Linked DNA regions of Arabidopsis thaliana. The protein of the gene in region 1 interacts with the protein of each later gene in a pairwise test. Each region holds a gene or a part of one and is shown on either strand. Other genes may lie near its edges.

The links.
Region 2: the proteins of PEX7 (region 1) and PKT3 interact in binary tests that used the Arabidopsis thaliana proteins (3 or more experiments, as listed by UniProt).
Region 3: the proteins of PEX7 (region 1) and PKT4 interact in binary tests that used the Arabidopsis thaliana proteins (3 or more experiments, as listed by UniProt).
Region 4: the proteins of PEX7 (region 1) and PEX13 interact in a two-hybrid assay, tested with the Arabidopsis thaliana proteins (one study listed by BioGRID).

What each region holds. Positions count from the first base shown.
Region 1 is NC_003070.9:10,222,537-10,227,018, forward strand, and holds PEX7 (peroxin 7), read left to right. Parts: upstream 1-2,278; 5' UTR 2,279-2,386; coding exon 2,387-3,340; 3' UTR 3,341-3,786; downstream 3,787-4,482. Other genes in the region: AT1G29250 (Alba DNA/RNA-binding protein), read right to left, coding at 925-1,020, 1,145-1,209, 1,310-1,372, 1,606-1,654, 1,937-2,056. UniProt on the Arabidopsis thaliana protein: Receptor required for the peroxisomal import of proteins containing a C-terminal PTS2-type peroxisomal targeting signal. Specifically binds to cargo proteins containing a PTS2 peroxisomal targeting signal in the cytosol.
Region 2 is NC_003071.7:14,046,756-14,053,555, forward strand, and holds PKT3 (peroxisomal 3-ketoacyl-CoA thiolase 3), read right to left. Parts: upstream 4,646-6,800; 5' UTR 4,229-4,645; coding exon 4,139-4,228; intron 3,727-4,138; coding exon 3,650-3,726; intron 3,542-3,649; coding exon 3,457-3,541; intron 3,375-3,456; coding exon 3,248-3,374; intron 3,159-3,247; coding exon 3,060-3,158; intron 2,987-3,059; coding exon 2,919-2,986; intron 2,839-2,918; coding exon 2,731-2,838; intron 2,642-2,730; coding exon 2,564-2,641; intron 2,447-2,563; coding exon 2,314-2,446; intron 2,220-2,313; coding exon 2,123-2,219; intron 1,956-2,122; coding exon 1,832-1,955; intron 1,740-1,831; coding exon 1,631-1,739; intron 1,344-1,630; coding exon 1,260-1,343; intron 1,169-1,259; coding exon 1,059-1,168; 3' UTR 723-1,058; downstream 1-722. Other genes in the region: RALFL18 (ralf-like 18), read right to left, coding at 1-77; AT2G33160 (glycoside hydrolase family 28 protein / polygalacturonase (pectinase) family protein), read left to right, coding at 6,649-6,800. UniProt on the Arabidopsis thaliana protein: Involved in long chain fatty-acid beta-oxidation prior to gluconeogenesis during germination and subsequent seedling growth. Confers sensitivity to 2,4-dichlorophenoxybutiric acid (2,4-DB).
Region 3 is NC_003070.9:1,319,525-1,325,340, reverse strand, and holds PKT4 (peroxisomal 3-ketoacyl-CoA thiolase 4), read right to left. Parts: upstream 3,457-5,816; 5' UTR 3,401-3,456; coding exon 3,323-3,400; intron 3,085-3,322; coding exon 3,020-3,084; intron 2,935-3,019; coding exon 2,850-2,934; intron 2,769-2,849; coding exon 2,642-2,768; intron 2,554-2,641; coding exon 2,455-2,553; intron 2,375-2,454; coding exon 2,307-2,374; intron 2,210-2,306; coding exon 2,102-2,209; intron 2,019-2,101; coding exon 1,941-2,018; intron 1,836-1,940; coding exon 1,703-1,835; intron 1,610-1,702; coding exon 1,513-1,609; intron 1,437-1,512; coding exon 1,313-1,436; intron 1,208-1,312; coding exon 1,099-1,207; intron 1,034-1,098; coding exon 950-1,033; intron 862-949; coding exon 785-861; 3' UTR 501-784; downstream 1-500. Other genes in the region: AT1G04700 (PB1 domain-containing protein tyrosine kinase), read right to left, coding at 4,688-4,863, 4,968-5,055, 5,131-5,253, 5,342-5,489, 5,573-5,736. UniProt on the Arabidopsis thaliana protein: Involved in fatty-acid beta-oxidation prior to gluconeogenesis during germination and subsequent seedling growth. Implicated in jasmonic acid (JA) biosynthesis.
Region 4 is NC_003074.8:2,410,821-2,416,112, reverse strand, and holds PEX13 (peroxin 13), read left to right. Parts: upstream 1-2,525; 5' UTR 2,526-2,802; coding exon 2,803-2,821; intron 2,822-3,318; coding exon 3,319-3,558; intron 3,559-3,638; coding exon 3,639-3,982; intron 3,983-4,088; coding exon 4,089-4,181; intron 4,182-4,278; coding exon 4,279-4,497; 3' UTR 4,498-4,792; downstream 4,793-5,292. Other genes in the region: AT3G07565 (histone H2A deubiquitinase (DUF3755)), read right to left, coding at 241-352, 499-560, 732-841, 932-1,052, 1,288-1,350, 1,486-1,585, 2,052-2,290; AT3G07550 (RNI-like superfamily protein), read right to left, coding at 4,980-5,292. UniProt on the Arabidopsis thaliana protein: Component of the PEX13-PEX14 docking complex, a translocon channel that specifically mediates the import of peroxisomal cargo proteins bound to PEX5 receptor.

The DNA.
Region 1 (4,482 bases):
TATTTTGATCTTGAAAAAAATAATTATGGAGTAACTGATAAGTGATCATGGACAAAAATGAAATTAAGAGAATGATTTTCCATTCATTTAATTTGTTTAGATAACTTCATCTTCTTCTTTTTCTTCATTCTCTTAATTTCAACTTTGTCCATTATCATTCAATCCAATCACTCATCAATCAATTAGCCTTGACTAATTGTACAGACATAATAATTAAATCAGTAAAAGTCAAAAGCTATTATCATCAAGCAATGGAATCCCATCCCAGACTGCAATTAACAAATGGCAATTGAGAGTTTAACAGAATTTGACAACTTCTTTTTGTTTTTCTAATTGACAACTTTTTATTTGGTCAAATCCTATTGAACTATAATATACTATTATTATAGTTTATTGGTGCTAAGAATGTGAACCAAAGTGATTAGTTAGCAAGTAATAACCTTATTGCACACTATAATACTTTCTTATATTTCTTCTAGTATGGTTACGTTTTAGTGTTAAACTAAAAGAACTGACAAAAAGAAAAAAATTAGATATAGCCATTAGTTATAACTTATAGCTCATGATGTCACATATGTATCATGTGGCTTACATTTGTTCAATTATCCCAGAGATAGTGATTTGTTATCCATAAGCCATATCACTAACCTTTTTTATGGACAGATTCCAAGTCTTCAAAATAAAATTTCAACTACATGTATTACTCTACATAATAAGGTTGGAAGCTGATTTATGCAACGAAGCCATCTTTTTTATACTTCCTACGATCTTTAAATAAAAATGCTCAGAGGTACAGAGGACACAATCCAAGGTGAAATAAAAAAGTGAACCAAAAATTAACGAAATAGAAGTGTCTTAAAATTAAGCAGATAGAGATAGGGAACGAAGAAATAAGATCGTTGAACAGAAAAAACTTGAAACAATCTAGTTTTGCTCTTGGGCTTCTGCAGCCTCCTTCTCTTCATTAGCTGCAGCCATTAGTTCATCAAACTTCTCAGACTTGGCAAGCGTGATCTCAATCTACAAGTCACAGTGTCACCAATTTAGCAACCAACATAGCAATTTCCCAGAGAACAAAAATCATTAGACGGAAGCTAGAATTCCACAGCATAAGCAATTTATCAAATGATTCGAAAATATATACCTTAGCTTTCTGCACAGGACGACCCCTTGAATCATCCTTGATATCCACAGTCGATGTCATGATCTCTGCAGGAAAAAACAATATCCAAATAAGCAAAACTTAGTCACTGAATCTTTCAAATCTCTTGTGCTAACATTAACTCATTCAAGATTAAGAAGATCTTACTCTTTTCAACAGCAAAGCCATTGTTCTTCAATATCTCAGCGACCGTAACAACAGTGGCAATAGCTGCACAACGCACAAATCAATGTTTTATGAGAAACCAGAATAAACTCTTCCAATAAAGAAAGCTCGGATAAGATATTACAAAATCACAGAAGATAAAAGATTCTATGTCATAACAATAAAAGGAAACAGCTTTTCTGATAATAACTTTGAATTTAATGAACTCAGTTACATAGTTTAAAAACCATACATATTAGATTTGATATATAAACAAGATCATAAAGAATAAACATTACCCATTCCTAGTGCAGACAATTCGACATCAGTGTACTGCTGCATGTACCTCTGTTAACAAAACACCAAACATGGTCAATAACATAAACAGGTTTAATCAAATCTAAAGAGCAAAACAAAGTTCACAAATCTAAGGAACAAACATTGATAAAGAGTCACATAAACAACACAGAACCACCAGTAATAACTCATCAAAGTCAATAACAGATAAATTAACACTCATGAACAATCACAGACATTTCCAGACTTGGTACTCAAATAAGAACACTTCGAATCCATAGATTTCAATCTAAATACGAATTTATTAAGATTCGATTAAAAGGGTTTCGTTACCTTGGCGAGATTGACGTAGAAGAACAATGGTTTCTTAGTGTTGGAAACTTGAATCCGATTCTTCTTCTGGGTATCAACAGCCAAGTTCATGTTGTTAACTCCTTCCGTGATCTCTTCCATTGAATCTAACTCAGAAAAATTAAAACTTCTCCTCTCGAATTTAGATTTCTCTCTCACTTTTATCTCAGAAAACGAATGAAATTGAAGAGACAGAGAGACGACGATGAAGCTTGAACCAAACCCCCAAAAAACCCTAACTTGAAATGCCAAACGACATCGTTTTAACACAACCTACACAAATGGGCTAGGCTCCAGCCCAATAGGCCCAATTGGGGGGAAAATTAATTCTGCGATGAGCAAAATCGGCGTTATCCGATCAGATCGTTGAATTGAATCTTCGAGAAGACTCTTCTTTTGATTCAATCACTCACCGGAGAAGAAGAAGAAGCTATGCCGGTGTTCAAAGCTCCGTTCAATGGCTACTCTGTGAAATTCAGTCCATTCTACGAGTCACGCCTCGCCGTCGCTACAGCTCAGAACTTCGGAATTCTCGGAAACGGCCGAATCCATGTCCTCGAGCTCGCTCCTGGAGCTCCAGGCGTAACTGAATCCGTCTCGTACGATACAGCCGACGCTGTATACGACGTATGTTGGTCAGAATCTCATGACTCTGTGCTCATCGCCGCAATTGGTGACGGCTCAGTGAAGATTTACGACACAGCTCTTCCTCCTCCTTCTAATCCGATTAGATCATTCCAAGAGCACGCGCGTGAGGTTCAATCTGTGGATTACAATCCCACGCGGCGCGATTCGTTTCTCACTTCTTCGTGGGATGATACGGTTAAGCTTTGGGCTATGGATCGTCCGGCGAGTGTAAGGACTTTTAAGGAACATGCTTATTGCGTTTATCAAGCAGTTTGGAATCCTAAACATGGTGATGTGTTTGCTTCTGCTTCTGGAGATTGTACTTTAAGGATTTGGGATGTTAGAGAACCTGGATCAACTATGATCATCCCTGCTCATGATTTTGAGATTTTGTCTTGTGATTGGAATAAGTATGATGATTGTATTTTAGCTACTTCTTCAGTGGATAAGACAGTTAAGGTTTGGGATGTTAGGAGTTATAGAGTTCCTTTGGCTGTGCTTAATGGTCATGGATATGCGGTGAGGAAGGTGAAATTCTCGCCGCATAGGAGGAGTTTGATAGCTTCTTGCTCTTATGATATGAGTGTTTGTCTTTGGGACTATATGGTGGAAGATGCTTTGGTTGGTAGGTATGATCATCATACAGAGTTTGCTGTTGGGATCGATATGAGTGTTCTTGTTGAAGGTTTAATGGCGAGTACTGGTTGGGATGAGCTTGTTTATGTTTGGCAGCAAGGGATGGATCCTAGAGCCAGTTGATTCATAAGTAAGTTTGTGATTGCAAAACAGTTTCATCTTTATTTGTTGTGGAATTGGTTTGGTTTTTGTTAAAGGAATGTAGTTGGAATAAAGTTGGGATCTTGCTTAAGAAGAAATGTAAGTTACTGAGAGTTTCACATATGAACAAGGTTATCTTTCGAATTGTGATTGATGGTAATAGTAGATAGATTGCTTATGTTCTAGTGTATATGTTAACCTGTTACAATGAGACCTGATTAACATATATATTAGGACTAAGATATATGTTAATCTTCTATAATGTCCAAAGTAATGACATAATATATATAAAGTCAATTACTTTAGGGTAATGTACCTTTTATAGTATACTGTAGAATTCGAATTTTGTTCTTTTTCATAGTTGATTGACTTTATTGAGTGGCATAAATGTACATATTTATAACTTTCTAGAGCATATTGCAGTTTCGAGCTTTTGCATTTTATGCGTCTTCAGGTAGAAGCTTATTAAAATCACAAGAACATTCTTACGGATCTTCCATTTCAAGAATCACTTTCTACTTATTACTTTACTATTATACCACTCTCTTTTTTATCTTATTCCATAGTATTAAAGATTCTTTTATTTTCTTATGATTTTTTTTTTAATATAGTACTCCGATCCCAAACAAAAGATCTCAAAACACATTTTGTCAAGTCACAAGACTCACAACCGTCTCAACTTTTGGACTAAATTCAAATCAGACAAATAATTGGGTTAAACATATGAAAGGGCTTGACATTATATCATATAGTATTAAAGTGAACTATAATATTGCTTTATCCACGAGGTCAAGAACATACTATATGTAATAGACACACATTAGTATTGACTTTTTATGTTAAAACTAGAGATTAAATTTTGTGAATTTAAATGACACATGTACGATCTTTTACTTTTGTTGTGATGCACGCGGAAGATGTTGCGAAGGATTAGAAATTGTTAAAAGAGAAGAAGGTGGTAGACTGCTCTTCATTTAGGAATATTTCTGACCATAAAACTTGTGGCATGGAAGATTATTCCTAAGAAATTATACGAAGAAGAGATCATTGTCGGAATAAAACATCGGTCTTATTTACAATGCAGTAGCATTGTACCGTGGAATATGCTTCTTTCCAAGTTTATA
Region 2 (6,800 bases), on another chromosome or scaffold:
CCGACCACAAGCGCTGGAAGCAAAGCTGCCGAGATGATCATCACAGCGATGATCAAGAGCTTCATGTTATTCATCATCGAGACTTATCAAGAGAGTGTAAAGTTGAGAGTAGTAGTTGTTGTTTCGTTTACGTTGAAATGGTTTGTGATGAAACACTTGGTTAATCTACACTTTTATAGAGGTTAATTTTTTTTGTAGAGGTTCATCGAATATTTGACCAGATTCTTACTCGAAAAAGAAAATCAAAATTACTCCGTCAAATTCATGGAATAAGAAATGAATACGGTGCCCAAAAAAGATGAACCTACACAAATAAATGATTCAGTGGATTTGTTTTGCTCTGTATAGTGATCAAAGTCGGTCAATTCGCATAATTAATTGGTCAAAGCCTCAATAATGATTTCCATATATGATAACATTGATGGCTCGTTTTTAACACAAAACTGAGGGGATGCATTGGAACATGATTATAACGTCTTATACTGCCGTTATAACGTCTCCGGTATCAAAGACAAGATACTATAACGAAAAGAAAAAAAAATACTAGAAGGAACGTTATATAAATAGCTATGAGAAAATAAAATTATGGGGTGAGAGAGGCTCGAACTCTCGACCTCAGGATCACTCAGTAGCTATGAGACCTACGCGCTAGCCAACTGCGCCACCACCCCAACTGTTACTATTAACACTGTTTTAGTTAATGAAATTCAAGGTAAAATCATGAAACACAAACAAAAGGCAGAACCCTTGACTTTATGAACGTTTGACTTATCCATCGAAATATAGAAATGGCTGCCACCCAAAAAATCTAAAATTTCTAGAAGCAACAACTGATGAAATTCGAGAAGAACAATATTCTTACATATAAAAGATTTAAAGATTATCCCCCTTCACTTAAAAAAAATACTAAACACATGACCTGGTCAAGAACAACACAAGACTCAGGCAAACATTGGTTGTGTGCTTTATTCGAAACTATAATAATATCTGAAGAAAGTGACAAGAAGACCAGAAAAGAGAGAGGTGAGGTGAAAAACGGTTTTGGTGCATGGTCCTCTCTAGCGAGCGTCCTTGGACAAAAGACCTTGCGCTTCAACTTTCCTTGCGTTGCGAAGCTCATCAACTCCATCTCCTCTCTCAAACACAGCTGCTGCACCCATCCCCGTCCCTGCCAGAGTTTACCAAATCAGTAAAACCATCCCTCAGACACATATTTCAGACACCAAATTCACAATGAATTATTCGAGTGAGAAGCATACCAATGCACATTGACACTACTCCAAAACGGCAGTCTTTACCACGGCGTTTCATCTCGTGCAACAATGTAGCAACACAACGCGCTCCTGTGAGAGTTTTAACAAGTATTAGCAACTGTTCATGAGCGTTTTATAATTATATAGACACAATGTAGACATTGATATGCTTTGAAAAGGACGGACTGCGGCAAGATAGAGCTCTTGTAAGTTGGTTAAAGAACCATTAGTGAGGACAGAGTTTATAAAGATATATCTCGGCTGTGGATTTCTTAAGGTTTGGTTGAGAGTTGAGAGATTCTCATTAATTCAAGTCTCTATGGTTTGGTAAATTGGAACAAGCTTAACAGTTTTAGTCCTGTTCTTAACAGATATACCTGTAGCGCCCAAAGGATGGCCTATGGCCATTGCACCTCCGTTGACATTGATTTTCTCTGGGTCAAGTCCCAATTTGTTACGGCAATAAACAAACTGAGATGCAAATGCCTGAACACACAAGGATTCAAACAGATGGTCATCATCAGAATGTGCGGGAAGAGATATGTGATAAGAAGATCATGAAATTGTTTGCTATATACCTCATTGATCTCAAACAAGTCGATGTCATCAAGTTCTAAACCAGCCGCCTTAACTGCAGCAGGAATGGCAACTGCTGGACCGATACCCATGATTGCAGGGTCAACACCAACTGCAGCAAATGTCCTGCAATATGTCCAATAGTGTGCTACTTAGAAAAAGCCAAATACAGAAAGAACAATGTATTTTCCACGTATACTAGCATATCTGTGTAAATGGAAATCACAAGCCTCTGCAGTTTTTTCGGTTTTCAGACTTCCACAGTCGTAGCTTTGTAAGTAATTATTACCCACCTGAATACACCAAGAACGGGAAGTCCTTTTTGCATTGCAACACTTCTCTTCATTAGGAGAACCGCTCCTGCACCATCACTTACTTGGCTGGAATTTCCTGTTTGCGACAGAACAAATGAAGCAATGGATTTAAAATTGTGATAATAAGAACTGTGGTTTCCATAATGAAACAATTGATTCGGGAAAAGTACCAGCAGTAGTGGTGCCATCCTTCTTAAACACTGGCTTCAGCTTCCCAAGAGAAGCAAGAGTTGTGGTTGGTCGGATACCATCATCAACAGAAACTGTAATGGGTTTCTCATCACCAGTCTTCGGGTCAACAAGCTGAAATTTAAAACACACGTTATTGACTAATACTAGAACATGAATGAAGTTCAGTAACTAATCCACCAAGAGAAGTCTTAAATGTTACAGTTATTGTATGAAGGATCTGAAAAATACCTTGGTCTTAACAGGAATGATCTCATCCTTGAATTTACCAGCAGCAGTAGCAGCAGCTGCCTTTCTGTGCGAGTCAACCTAGCAATATGACTCCATAGCTTAGCATAGCGATCAAAGTTATAGGTTATTTAAAATACAACCATACTGAAAAAGTTCAGTTCCCTTACAGCAGCTTGATCTTGCTCCTGCCTTGAGACACCAAAGCGTTGTGCTACATTTTCTGACGTAACACCCATAGGAAGAAGACAATTCTGCGCTTGTGCAAACTTCTTCACCTGAAATAACATAGTCCGTATTATAGTACGTATTAAAATAACAGAGCCAAGTAAGACTCCAGATAAGAGAGAATCAGTACCGCTGGGTTGACTGACCCTTCCCATGCCATTGGATTGGTAGTCATGGACTCCAAACCAGCCCCGATACCTGCATCCATCATATCGTCAGCTCGGTTCTCTATGAAAAAATGTGGCGTAGTTAAAGACGGTTATTCACTAACCAATGTCATAAAATCCCGCTTTAATGGCAGCGGCTACATCAGCAACAGCCTGAAGCCCAGATGAGCACTGTCTATTCACAGTTCTGACAGCCACGGTTTCTGCAAATGAACATAACAGGATGAGCATACAGGAAATAAAAACAAAGACTTTTCACCATTGTATTGTACTGTACATAGAAGAAACATACCAGGGAAACCAGCATAGAACGCAGCCATCCTGCATTCACTGGCTCTCTGAGATCCAGGTGCCAAAACAGTACCCACAACAATGTCACCTACTTCACTTGGGTTTAGATTCGTCTTCTCTATCAATGCCTATGTCAAGGAAGAACTATCTATAAATAGACGTAGAAAGGAAATAAAAACCAACAACAGAATAGAAAAGATAGCGACAGACCCTCAAAACAGGTGCGAGCAAATCATCGGGATATGTATCCTTGAAATTGCCACGTTTGGACTTGCATAGTGGAGTCCTATGTGCCCTGCAATGGATCAATAAGTGTAAGTCTATCAGAAAGAGACGAGAAATCTTCATACGTTGCTGAAAAACCAAATACCAAAAGAGTAAAAGCATAAGAGATGGGACTTACGCGACAATGACAACATCATCTCCATAGAGAGAGGTCCTCTGATATGCAGCACTGTCCCCAGCCAAGCAAGCAGAAGCCTGGGAATTTGGAAAGAACACGTTAAAGAGATCACACGTAGTAATTGAAATCAAGCTTTGACTTTTAAGAAATCATCAGTACATGCAGAGCACGGATAATTCAACCCAATCGAACAAAAATCAAACAACAACAAAAAAAAAAAAGATATCTATCTCAATCCAGTGAACGAAATACAAAAACAAAATCCAAGTCTTGAATTTGATCTCAATCGAGCTGAAACTTAAAATTTTCAGCTCACAGGCACGCCTCGAATCAAATTATAATTCAGCATCAAAATCAAAATCGAAAATTCCATATAATGAATCCAGATCAACAACGATCCATAATCCCCAGACTGCAAACACAAGAGAAGACAACCAAAAGATCGCGATAGATCGAGAGAGAGAGAGTGTGTGGTGATAGAATGCTTACAGATAGAGAAGCCTCGTAATTGTGCGAAGAAGAAGAAGAAGGTCGGAGATGCTCAAGAAGAACGCGTTGTCTCTCGATCGCTTTCTCCATTTTTTCCGGCTGATTAAAGATAAAATTCGGATCTGTTGTTTTTTCTCAGAGAAGGATTTGTTCTACACGAAAACTCACAGTCCTCGGGTTTGTGATCATTTATAAGGTAAGATGACTCACCGCTTTGCCCGTTCCGGGTAAATGATAATCCCAAAATAAGTAAGAATAAAAAATATCTCTTTTTCGTAATATTTCTTTGCTTAAACGACCAAAAAATATCATCTGTGACAGCGATACAAGTTCTTATCCTATAGTTGTAAAATCCAAATCAAACAGTTTTTAGCCTAATGACCTTACTCTAATTATGAATTAAAATGTTCACACTGGTTTGGTGATTGTTAATAGTGTGAAATAATTGATGATGAGAGTCATAGTCATAGATAAGCTGAGAGTGTGATAGAAGAAGATAAGATTAGGCGTGACGTTTGCCCCCGCCCGTTTTGGGCTTTGAAATGCGTGCCGTGTTTTTCATTTCCATCTTCTGGATCTTAATCTTCTTCATATTTACATAATAACCCCAACTATTTGTATTACTTCTATTTACGCCTTAAAGTTGCTATTAATTCTAAAAGTACCCTTCTTGAGACTTGATCGCTATTTTCTTTTTACGTTTTACCAACGTAAAGTTAAAGCCCATATGGTGTGATAGTTTGCAATACTATGGGCTCGGCCGGTTTAAACGAAATAAGAACGGATATTGTATAATAGTGAAAACTACATTTTCAATTAATAATGTTATTATGCGATTGACAAGCAGATGCAATAGTGTTTGAATAAAATTTTTATCAATATGAACTTTACTTAGGCATATATATTACCAATAATGACAATATGGCACTGCAACAATGCACATCTGCGTAAGGTTAGCATGTCAAGATCTCTTACACGCCGTGATACCAAATTTATATCGACTTGCAAATATGGGAGATTAAAGCTCTCTTTACTCAATTTTACTCAATCTTACAAACATTTGTGTGGTACTTTCCGGAAGTTTTCCGACATGTAATATTGAAATTAGATCGTGTAGAGAGTTATCAAATAACAAAAAAACTCGAGAAACTTTGTAGTTTTGTTATGTATCAGACTAGAAATTAACTCTAACTGAATGGAGAGATTAACATTGAAGAGGAAGAAACAAAACTGTACGTGATCAGCTTTACATTGTGCTTGTCTATCTTTACATTGTGATTATTGTAATATCGCCCTAATATTTTCGCATATAGTTGTCCATTTAACCTATTAGAGTGAAACATCTATATATTAATACTTGTCAATTTAATAATCATTGTAAATTAATAAACTTTTCCGGTTCAAAGTTGGACGAATATAATATATAACGTAATTGGATAAAAATGTTATTTGTTTTTCTTTGAATTTGTTTTAATTTTTGTGAAAAAGTCATTTTCAATATTTTTACTACATCTAAAAATTAACACTTATATAAATCAATAAAATATTTTATTCCCCATGTTATTAATTTATAATTTTATTTTACTGTATTAGCTCTTACATGCAACATCATAGACTTCAGTTTTATTTCTAACAAGATTATTTAATCTTAAACATCTATCCAATGTCTAATTTTTGTGAAACAATATAATATCTTATCAACTTTAGTTTTCAATCTTATCTTTTTATCTAATATACTTTGAGTTGGCAAACAAATCCTATGCAAAGAAGAGACGAAATTATTGAAAATGTTAATTTTCTTACTTAACCATACTAAATATCTTTATTCTATCATTTACTATATTCGTTATATTAACATATCTATGTTTTTTGTAAAGACAAAATGTTAACCAATAAATTTTACATTTTTAATAATTTTGTTTCTTCTCTGTATATATATTTTTTCCTGACTCAAAATTAAATGAGATAAAAAGATAATTGAATCTCTTATATATGATTTTAGGGTAAACATTCCCATATCTTATTCTTTTATATTATCTTTTTTTAATAACAAATACACATGTAAACTGTAAAGTATACATTTCTTATCTATATGAATGAAGTATAAATTTATTTAACACATACAAATTTAATAAATCATAAAAAATACCACGTGGAACTGTAATGTATAATGTAATGTGACACAATATACAGTCAAAACATTCCAACTTATACAGATTTATATAGATTCAAGCGGATATGCAAAAAGAAGTAGAAAAAGAATGAATCCTACATTTATTTCATAATTTATTAGTAGTATATATGTACATAAAATCATCTTATTCCATCTTAAAAGGATCCTTTCATAATATTATTCCTAAGTATTTTCCATATGGGTGATAGTAAAGATTGCGTTTCCCATATTTGTTAAATAAATACATATATTCTTATCTTGTAACTCTATAAATAAGAAGCCTAAACGCTTTATTTTCCTTCAACCAAAAAAGGGTTACCAAACCAAAGAAGAGAGAATGGCGTCTAGGGTTCTTCTGATTTTGTGTGTGCCTTCTCTCTTCTTCTTCCTCGCCGCTTCCACGAAGGAATATCCCGGCCAACCAAAAATCTTTGACGTCAGAAACTATGGTGCTCGCGCAGATAGCCAAAGAGATAACGCTTTTGCGTT
Region 3 (5,816 bases), 8.9 Mb from region 1:
AGTTACATACTAAGCTTTAATCTGATTTATGACAATGTTTGCATATGCTAAGAAAAGCCAAGTAAGAGAGAAAATGAATTGTGTAAATACCCACTGTTTTTTTCGTTGGAAATCTTGTTTACTATATATTTTACACAATACAACATATATGTCATTGACAGTAAACCTAAACCCCATGCTTGATATATCTTCGAGGGATAAACTTTCTAATGACTAGTGTAGTTGCATTGCATTCTATCAGCAATATCTTTATCTTTCAATGCATTTGAATGTAGACTATGTAGTAGAAGAATTGGTCGAACTCCAAAATCAGTTTGAGAAATAAAAAGAATTTGGGGTGAGAGAGGCTCGAACTCTCGACCTCAGGATCACTCTGTAGCTATGAGACCTACGCGCTAGCCAACTGCGCCACCACCCCTTTTTGTGATATTGTCACAAGGGTTAATAATTGATTCTTCGTTTCGATAAAAGACACTTGTAATCTACATTTCCTTTTTGATTTAATCATTACTATGCAACGTGATTCAATAATATAGTTCTACAATTGTGTACATACATATGACAAACCAAATAGATTATGATATGTTCTCAAAGAGTATCTGTATATATTCCAACCATATAACAAAAGAGAGTTAAAAAATAACAAGAAGTTTTCCCTCATGTATTGTACTATCGTTATGATTTATTCATCTAGAACGCATTTATTTGTGATAATGTTTATTTGTAGTACTGTGTTCTAATTTGGTCCTTAGCTAGGGTCCTTGGTCAAAAGGCCTTATTGTCATTAGACTTTCCGGACATCACAGAGCTCATCCACACCGCCTCCTCTCTCAAACACAGCGGCTGCTCCCATTCCCGAACCTGTGCGGTTTCCCAGTCACAGTGAGAGTGTTAGTGTGTACGAGAGAGTGGGAGTCAAAAGGAGAGTGAGAGTGAACATATTACATACCTATACACATTGACACTACGCCAAAACGACAGTCTTTACCACGTCGTTTCATCTCATGCAGCAGCGTCGCAACGCATCTGGCTCCTGAGAATGTGTAGTTGTTAGATGAGGAAGGAAATTAATGATATGTGAACAAAGAGGAAGCATACCTGTAGCGCCCAAGGGATGTCCAATGGCTATGGCTCCTCCATTGACATTGATCTTTTCCGCGTCTAGCCCGAGCTTGTTCCGACAATAAACAAACTGAGATGCAAATGCCTGAACACACAGTAGGATTTTAGACAAAGAATATAAGGCCTATAAGTAATAGACTATGAGCTGGAGTAAATGTAAAGGAAGAAGAGTTGTTCTATTATCTTAAACCTCGTTAATCTCAAACAAGTCGACGTCATTGAGTTCTAAACCAGCTGCCTTGACTGCAGCAGGAATGGCAACGGCTGGCCCAACCCCCATGATGGCTGGGTCCACACCAACTGCAGAAAATGTCCTGTAATGTGTCCAAGAGTGCTGTTACTAAATGAAGCAAAGAAAGGTCAATATAGAGTATCAACTATCAAGCCCACCTGAATACACCAAGAATGGGAAGGCCTTTCTGCATTGCGACATTTCTCCTCATAAGGAGAACAGCTCCAGCACCGTCACTTAATTGGCTAGAATTCCCTGTTTGACACAAAGGAAACAAGGGATTTGGGAAAAAGATGGATCAAACAAACATTTTTCTCTGAAAATGACCAATTAATCTGGGGAAAGTACCAGCAGTTGTGGTTCCGTCTTCCTTAAACACTGGCTTCAGCTTTGCAAGTCCGGAAAGGGTTGTGTTAGGTCGAATCCCATCATCCACAGAAACTGTTATGGGTTTCTCATCACCTGTCTTTGGGTCAACAATCTGAAATGTAAAAACAAAATTCATTAAATTGGGTAAAGAGCACTTGATGCATCCTGAAGAATCTAACATGTTCACAGTTGTTGCAAGGTGGAAAACAGCATGTACCTTGGTTTTTACAGGGGTTATCTCATCCTTAAACTTTCCGGAAGCAGTAGCAGAAGCAGCCTTTCTGTGAGAATCAACCTACACATTTGACTCGATAAACTAAGGGATGGAGGGCAATATCGAATACATGCATTAGAACTAAGAATGCTTATTTGACTTACAGCAGCTTGATCCTGCTCCTCCCTTGAAACATTAAACCGGTGTGCTACATTTTCTGAAGTAATACCCATTGGAAGAAGGCAATTGTGAGCTTGTTCAAACTTCTTCACCTAAAACAACAGAATACGTTCTATGAGAGCTAATCATTCAACAGAGCCAATCAATACACTCCGGGAAGGAAGGAGAGAGACAATAAGAGCATGGTACATTTGGGTTGACTGATCCTTTCCATCCCCTTGGATTAGTTGTCATGGACTCCAGCCCAGCTCCAATACCTGTATTCAACGTAATTTCAGCTCAATTCTTCATGCCAAGATAAGACAATTTATGTAACCAAAGATAGTTACTATCTTACCAATGTCATAAAAACCAGCTTTTATGGCAGCGGCAACATCAGCAACAGCCTGAAGCCCAGATGAACACTGTCTGTTCACGGTTCTGATGGGAACAGTTTCTTCCAACAGACAAAAAGAGCATAAGCATACAACAAACGAAAAAGAAGAAAAGATTCAGGATTACCATAATACAGAAGAAAATATTACCGGGGAAACCAGCATAGAACGCAGCCATCCTGCATTCACTGGCTCTCTGAGATCCTGGTCCCAAAACAGTACCCACTACAATGTCACCAACTTCACTTGGGTTTACATTAGTTTTCTCTATCAATGCCTAGCAAGAAGAAGCACACATAAGTGCAAATTGGAAAAAGGGGAAGCCAAAAAACAGGAAACAGAACTGAACAAGACATACTCTCAATACAGAGGCAAGCAACTCGTCTGGAAATGTATCCTTGAAGCTGCCACGTTTTGCCTTGCAAAGTGCAGTCCTTTGTGCCCTGTGAATCACAAGAAGCATAGAAAAAGGTTCAACAAGTTTCCATAAAGTCTTGCACAATATCAAAAGAAGAAGAGAAACTTAACGCGACAATGACAACATCATCTCCATATTGATATGCAGCACTGTCTTTGGACAAGCAAGCTGAGGCCTTGTGAGGTAGCAACACAAACAGTAAGAGATACATTGTAATTCAAAAACAATTCCTATACCAAGATATTACTAATAATTCAAAAAAAAAAAAAACATCGAACAAGAGCCAACCGAAATCAGCCTTGAGAGTTATGGTTTCAGTAATAAATTCGTAATCACATGCAAACAATTGAGAGCAATTAGCGAGGGGAAATTGGAAACAGAAGATTCGAAATCAAAGCATCGGAAGAGCTTACAGAGAGAGAGGCGTCGGAAGATGACGAAGGTTGAAGATGACGAAGCAGTATCCTTTGTCTCTCCGTTGCTTTTTCCATTGTTTTCGTTTGATTATTTTGAAGCCCAAACTGGGCTAAACCGTTCGTTGTAAAGCAGATAAAAGACAAAGGAAAAAAAAAACTAAACCGCTTCATCCCGGTTTAGGATGGGTTACATACATATACGGTTTCAGGGTTTAGCGGAATCAATCATCTGGTTTTGATGCTAAACGACGTCGTATAGAGTAAGATGTCTTTCTTTCTCTCTCAGAAAAACTCGACAGTCATTTCTTCGACGGCACGTTTCTCTTATGAATTAACCCTAAAAACGCCGTCTTAGTCTCTCTTCGAGCCTACTTTCAAATTCGAAACTTTCGTTCATCTGTTCTCTACGTAAGTCTTTGCTTTCTTCTTTTCCCTGCTGTTGTTGTTTCTTTTTGGTTTTTCTTCTCAATGTTTATGGAGAATTTTTCGTTTTTGATTTCCATGGATTATGAGTTGTTACTTATTAAGTTTGGTGCTTTGGTCTGTTTCTCATTGGCATAATCTGTGATTAGTATCTCATAATCAATTGTAGTAATCATTTAGTTACATATGCTTTATGATTAAGCTGTAACAGTTTTGTTGGAATTTCATATGTCCATGTTTTTCAATTCCAATAATTTAACATTGAAACAAACAAAGAGCAGCTCAAATGGTCAAACTAAATCGAGAATCCTGAGTTGGCGAATAGAATGGGAGCTGATGTCGTATCAAGTCCTAAAGAAGATTGAGATCCATCTGCTTAGCGATAAATAAGTAAACATGGGCCAAGTTAGTGAAACTTTCGATCTATAAAATTTGCTTTGGGCTTGTATATTTATGCTACCACGACATGAGGTGGTACTATATAGGTCAGGGCTGATTATTCTACAAGATAGATTACAATTTACTTAAACGGTCTCGTTAGCGCGTTTGAGAACAACATGATTAACGTTGAAGAGCGCGTTTCATAAATTGCTGGATTTGAAATAATTTGAGAAGATGAGTTAAGTGAGGCGCGTTTGAGAACAACAATGGAGAACGTTGCAATTTATGGGCTGAGTTTTAATGGGTTGGGCTTATTACTCCAACATATTGCTTTACATAAAAAAAAGTTGTGTTTTTTTACACAATTGACCCTCAACTTTCTTGGTATACAACTTTTACCTAAACCGGTAAATGCTTCTCAATACTAATTTACAGACTCCACACAATCTCATAAATCTATATTCTTCCCATCTTCTGCTTTCATTCAACCAATAAATTTAAAACCAACCCAAAAAAAGGCTCATGTATCTCACAACTTACGTTTATTTGAGAGGGCTTTTAGGTTCTTCGCTTGGGTTGCAAGGCAACAGTCATTGATCGAAGTCGTTCAACAATCTCCGTAAACGATGGCCGTACTCCTGGATCGAATGACCAGCATTGCTCCATCAACTTCCTCCACTCAGCTTCACACCGTTCAGGCACCGGAGGTCTTAACGTATTGTTCACAATTCCACCTTTTTATCAAAACCAAACAGATCAAAAATTAGATCATAAACCAAAGCTCAATCCAAGTTCATCTTGTTCAAAGACTGAAGAACTGCTCATGCTAGAAACTTACCAATGATGGCACCGCAATGCAGATTCGCATAGGGTTCTTCGCCTGTCAAGATCTCCCACATCACGATACCAAATGAGAAAACATCGACCTGCAAAAACATGTTAAGATTAAAACAAAGACTCTTAACATTTTCAATGTTTTGATTTTGGACTCAACAACATACTTTCTCTGAGACCCGATTGCTGCTTCCGTTTAGCAGCTCTGGTGCCATCCATGGAAGGGTTCCTCTTACTCCACCAGAGACAAGCGTGTTTCGTTTTATTCTCGACAATCCGAAATCTCCAACCTGCAAATTCAACAGTGAGACTAATAAATACAGCACTTTACTCATACAACTTGGCTTGAAATTACCTGATTTTGGGGAAAAGTGTTACCTTGCAAATGGGTCGTTGTGGATCCCTCAAGTTTACAAGCAAGTTATCGCATTTAAGATCAAAATGAACAATATTTTTCATATGTAGATACTCCATGCCAAATGCAGAATCAAGAGTTATCATCAGTTTTTTGCGCCTATCAAGTAATCTGTGCCCAAAGTTTTTCCATCAGTAAACTCAGAATGTCATATCACAAAAGGTCATACAAAGATTTGACAGATTATTGTGTACCTGTCTTTTCTCTGCAAGACATGCCTCAAAGATCCGTTCACCATATACTCAGTCACTGTTGCCATTGTTCCACCAGGTCCATCTGGTACAACTCCATAAAAGGCCACTACGTTAGGATGGTGAAGATTCGCCAATATCCGAGCTTCTCTCCAGAAATCTTTAGTCTGTTTCAGTAAGGCATCAGTGAAAACTGCGGTTCTGAAATTCCCTTCAAAAGTACAAAGACTCGAGAGAAGAGTTAAAC
Region 4 (5,292 bases), on another chromosome or scaffold:
TATTCACATCCTAAACAACGATACGCGACCCTACTCATGTATCAATTAACCATTTGCTAAAACATTCAGAGACTGACGGAAATTGTAAAAAGAGACTATAACTCTATGAGTCAGGGGAAACCCCTCATTCTATCAACCAGTACGAGTGGAGCTCTCTCTCTATCCCGCGATTTATTCCTTTCTTCATTGATCCCGGATTAAAGAGACTCCTTGGTCAGAACCAACCATCTATCGCCTCGATCATGACTTCCTTTGATGGGATGGGCGAGGGAGGATCGAATTTGCCAGCTCCTCATTCAACTTCACCGGAAGAGGTGGCATCTGCTTCATAACTTCTGGCATGTCATTCAAGCTGCAATCCATTCAATCAGCAAAGCACGTTAAGATTTGAGTTGATACACTATAATAGCTCGAAAACTTTGTTGGAAAAGAATGGCATTTCCCAAAGTGAGTCAATGACATCGAAATGATCTATAGATATATGGGAAAATGTATTACTCGTTCAAGATTGCAAGGATATTGTCTCGAGCTTTGCACAAGATATTGACATTCTCATGTAGCTGCAATGGGAAAGAATCTTTCATAAGTACACAATTGGATAGAACTAACGTAAACTTAAGCTGATATAGTACAAAATCAATCATAAAACCACTGGATTGCTCAAAAGCCAACAGCACAAGGCAGAGAATCAAATCAAGTCCAAAAAACTCAGCGAATTATACAAAACTTACAAGATGAAAAGTGGAAGTTGAATTCACCTGGAAAGCTGAGAAATTTGTTGAAAGTTGATTGAACATTTGAGCATTTTGCTCGAGAAGATCTCCACTCACACCACCAATAGCTGCAATAAAGCCGAAACACTTATGCTCCTTCTAATCCAATCTAGAAGATTTAGCCTTTAAATGGAAAAAGCCTAGAATCTTAGACAAACCTTTATATGAAATACCATCATCAGTATCGATAGGCATCATAGGCGGAGCATAAGAAGGACCATTAGGATGAACATTCAAATGAGATGAGGACTTGGCTGAAGAATCTGTAGCTTTTTCCTGCTAAACAGATATGTGAAAGACAATCAATCAGTTTTTGTAGACTTATAAATGGATCCACAAGACAACACAAGAACTTTCATCCGTCCAAACTCACAAGTAAATGACTAAAGGTTCAAGCTAGTTACACATTAGAATTCAATCAAGCTGATTTATGGTTTGTACTTCAAATATCTTTCTTAGCCTTGCTAGTATCGAAATTGCTAAGTAGCAGCAAATAGGATTGAAATCCACATACTTTCTTATCTTTGCTTTTCCTCGAGGAATGATCTTCTTTCCTACGCTTTCCGTTTTCCTTTTTCTGCAATCCATCAGCAACCACATGGAGGTGAAAAACCGTCAGTTGATTCTTACTAATCAATAAAGCCAATACACGAAGAAGGTTAATCAAGAACAACGAAAAAGTCGCCGGATTAAGCAAAATCAAGAAACTTACAGTCATCCATCTACAGCGCAGGGCAACATCTCGAACAGTCTTATCTTTCATTTTCATAGCAATCTTCGCATATCGAAAAACCGACGGTTCTGTCGCGTACCTATATAAAGATTAATTACTAAAAGAGTGATAGGATTTAACAAGGCTCCTACAAAAATTTACAACCAGTCATTACAGATAAGTAGACAACTCATCCTCTAATTAAATCCTAAAATTTTCACATTGCTCTAACACTAATGAGCCTATCATAAATATGATACCACACTAGCTAGCTAGTCATTTTTCTAGTATTTTATTTATTACCATACTTGAAACCACATCCAAAACTCACAATCAGCTAATCAAATACCACTGTTTCTCTTCTCAGATATAATTCAAAAAACCCGACCAAAGCTAACAATTCTCAACACATATTCCGATTCAAGCTACATGATGCTTGAAAGGCCATGGAAAATAACATATCGCAGAATTCACTACATCTAGTCACATCTAGTCAGATAGAAAGAACATTGGATAAAACAGCAAATCCAAATCTTAAACATACAGAGAGAGAGCGAGAAGATTACTTGACAAGCAAATCTTCCAATAGAGATTGTTCCTCAAGAGTCCAATCGGTAGAGATCCCTGGATTATGCCTCAACGCGCCAATCGTCTGTGAATTATCCGCCGCCGCGCCTGTATTTCCACCATTATCGACGGAATTCACAGCAGCGCCATTCGCCGCCGCCGCTGAAGAAGACGATACCTTCTGCGTCGCCGACGAACCTTCCTGATTGTTCCCCGACGGGTTCGCGCTCGCCGCCATTAAATACCCAATTTTTGGAGCTTAAGAAGTCACTTGGTTTCCTAAAATAATTCCACCGGAAAAGTTTGAATTTTGGGAAATTCAGATATGAATTCGCCGGGATAGGAACAGAGAGAGGGAGAGAGAGAGATGATGGGGAGATTAATCCGGCCGCCGACTGAGCTTCTTCTTCTGCTTCCCTCGAAATATGGAATCTTTGCTTATAATAATATAAACATATAATTTCATCTCTATCCTTTTTCGGATTTTGGTTTTCTATTTTTGAGAGTCAAATACGTCAATTTTAGTAATTAAGAGGCTTTTTGGGTAAGGATTATAACTATAGGGGCTGATACATAATAACCTAAAAGAAGAAAGTAATCTGTTTTGTTTTTTCCTCTCTTTTCGAGGTCCCTTCTCCTCTGTCTTCTTCATCCCACCTCTCTTGTCTCTCTATCTCTCTCTCTCCGCGCTTGAGGTTGGCGTCGGAGATTACCAACAAGAGCTCTCTCCAATCGTCGTCTCTTTGATATATGGCGTCTCAGCCTGCAGGTTAGCTCAATTGAAATTCTTTTTTTTTTTTTTTTTTTGAGGATTCAGATTTTAGGGTCTCGATTTATTGAATTCTCCTTCTACAATTTTGGTACGTTCGATGAGACCCGTCGAGTTGTTTGATTTGAAAGTTGTGAAATTGATTAACTTTCGACCTACAATTGGATTTTAATTTAGGGTTGTAATCAATTGATGAGATCAGCTTTTGGATTGCGCTTAGCTTTGATTGGCCTTAGATTTTCTTGATTCAATTAGATGCTTTCGTTTTGGATTGCAATTTGATGCCTTTTCTTATTCTACATCATAGTTCTACTTTGATGTTTTCACATAACCTCACTTGTGTTACCGATACTGTTCCTAATCATCTTTACAATTGCTTTCATCAAGTCTCTTTAGTGTGTGTGTTTGCCTGTGCTGATTAAAGTTTAGTCTTATTTTCAGAATACTATCTGTCATGTCACTAAACGTATAATTAATTCAATTTACTGCTGCTGTAGGTGGCAGTCCTCCTAAACCTTGGGAAAAAGAAGGAAATACATCTGGTCCTAATCCTTTCAGGCCTCCTTCTAATACTAGCACGGCTGGTTCAGTTGAGGCTTCTGGCACAGCTAATCCTGGTGAAGTAGTTCCTCCGCCCGTGAACAGGCCTAATACAGCTGCTAATATGAATTCACTCAGTAGGCCTGTACCGGCTAGACCTTGGGAACAGCAGAATTATGGGAGCACTATGGGGGGAGGTATATTTTTTCAAGTTATCTTAGATTTTTTGGTTGCTGAGATTGCATAAAGCTTAGTTCTTTTATTGTATGAATGGCAGGTTATGGTTCAAATCTAGGTATGACCTCTGGGTATGGGTCAGGTACATATGGTTCAGCATTAGGTGGGTATGGTTCATCATATGGTGGTGGGATGTATGGAGGTAGTAGCATGTATAGAGGAGGTTATGGTGGTGGTGGGCTCTATGGAAGTTCAGGCATGTATGGTGGTGGTGCGATGGGTGGTTATGGTGGCACGATGGGTGGTTATGGTATGGGTATGGGAACGGGAATGGGAATGGGGATGGGAATGGGAATGGGTGGTCCTTATGGTAGTCAAGATCCAAATGACCCTTTTAATCAACCTCCATCTCCACCAGGCTTCTGGATATCATTTCTCCGTGTGGTATTGTTCATTATTCATACTTTATTTTGTATAAGAAATAAAAGAAGTTGATAATGATAAGGTAGTACTGTATAACATAAAGTGTTCATGTTTTGATTGATGACAGATGCAAGGTGCTGTGAATTTCTTTGGCCGTGTAGCGATGCTTATAGATCAAAACACACAGGCCTTTCACATGTTCATGTCTGCCCTTCTTCAGGTTCCTTCCTGTTTTTTTCTTCTACCAACTCGTATTTTACTGGTTCCTTGATCCATTTCATTGTTCTCATGTTAACCAATCATTTATTTGTCCTCAGCTATTTGATCGTGGTGGTATGTTATATGGAGAATTAGCAAGATTTGTACTGCGTATGCTTGGGGTGAGAACAAGGCCTAGAAAGATGCAGCAGCCACCACAAGGGCCTAATGGGCTACCTTTACCACACCAGCCACATGGAAACCAGAACTACCTCGAGGGGCCTAAAACTGCTGCACCAGGTGGTGGCGGTGGTTGGGACAATGTATGGGGCAACTAAGTTACTTCTTTCATTACCCAAATCCTTCAACATTGCTTTAAAACACCATGACAACCAGTTGGTTACCGATAGAAGATAAACCGTGTAGCAGCCTGCAACACAGATTGGGATGTACGAAAACCAGATGTTTGTTTGCAAATTGAGTCTCTTCTTCTCTTCTCTCTATCTCTCAGTATTCTCTGATTGTGTGGTAAAGGATAGATGTCGTACTCTACAAAATGGAAAGTGAAGTTTTAAGTGTTTGTTAAAGACCTTTCTATTGATATATATTTATAATATCCGATTCTCTTCCTCTTTTACTGGATTTGAAACAACACTGTTGACCAGTAAACGATTTTGATACTTTATTAACAACTTGAAGCCTATTCTTGAATACATCTTTTCTTGCAGTTTGCCTCTAGACAAGACCAACACATTGGTCCCAAAAATGTCGTATGAACGAACTTAAAAGAATCATGTACTGTTGATAGAAATTGATGCTTTTATTCTTGTGCATATAGTCTCCAGTCTGGTCCTATGACCATCATTTCTTCTGTTCTTAGTGTTATATCGGCTCTATGTAATCTGAACATCTCAATTGCTGTAGGGGTCAGCCTCGCGTTCCCGTTCATGTAGAGAATCTGGAGGTTCATGCAACCGCATCGTAGAGCAAGCAACCCTTGGTCACATAAGTTCCTACAACGGTTCACATGGAGTTTCTTCAAGTTACGGCACCACTTCCCTACGGCTTCCCATCCCGAAATCTTAACTTCATGACAAAGAGCCAAGTTCCACTCTTGGAGCAATGGACAACCT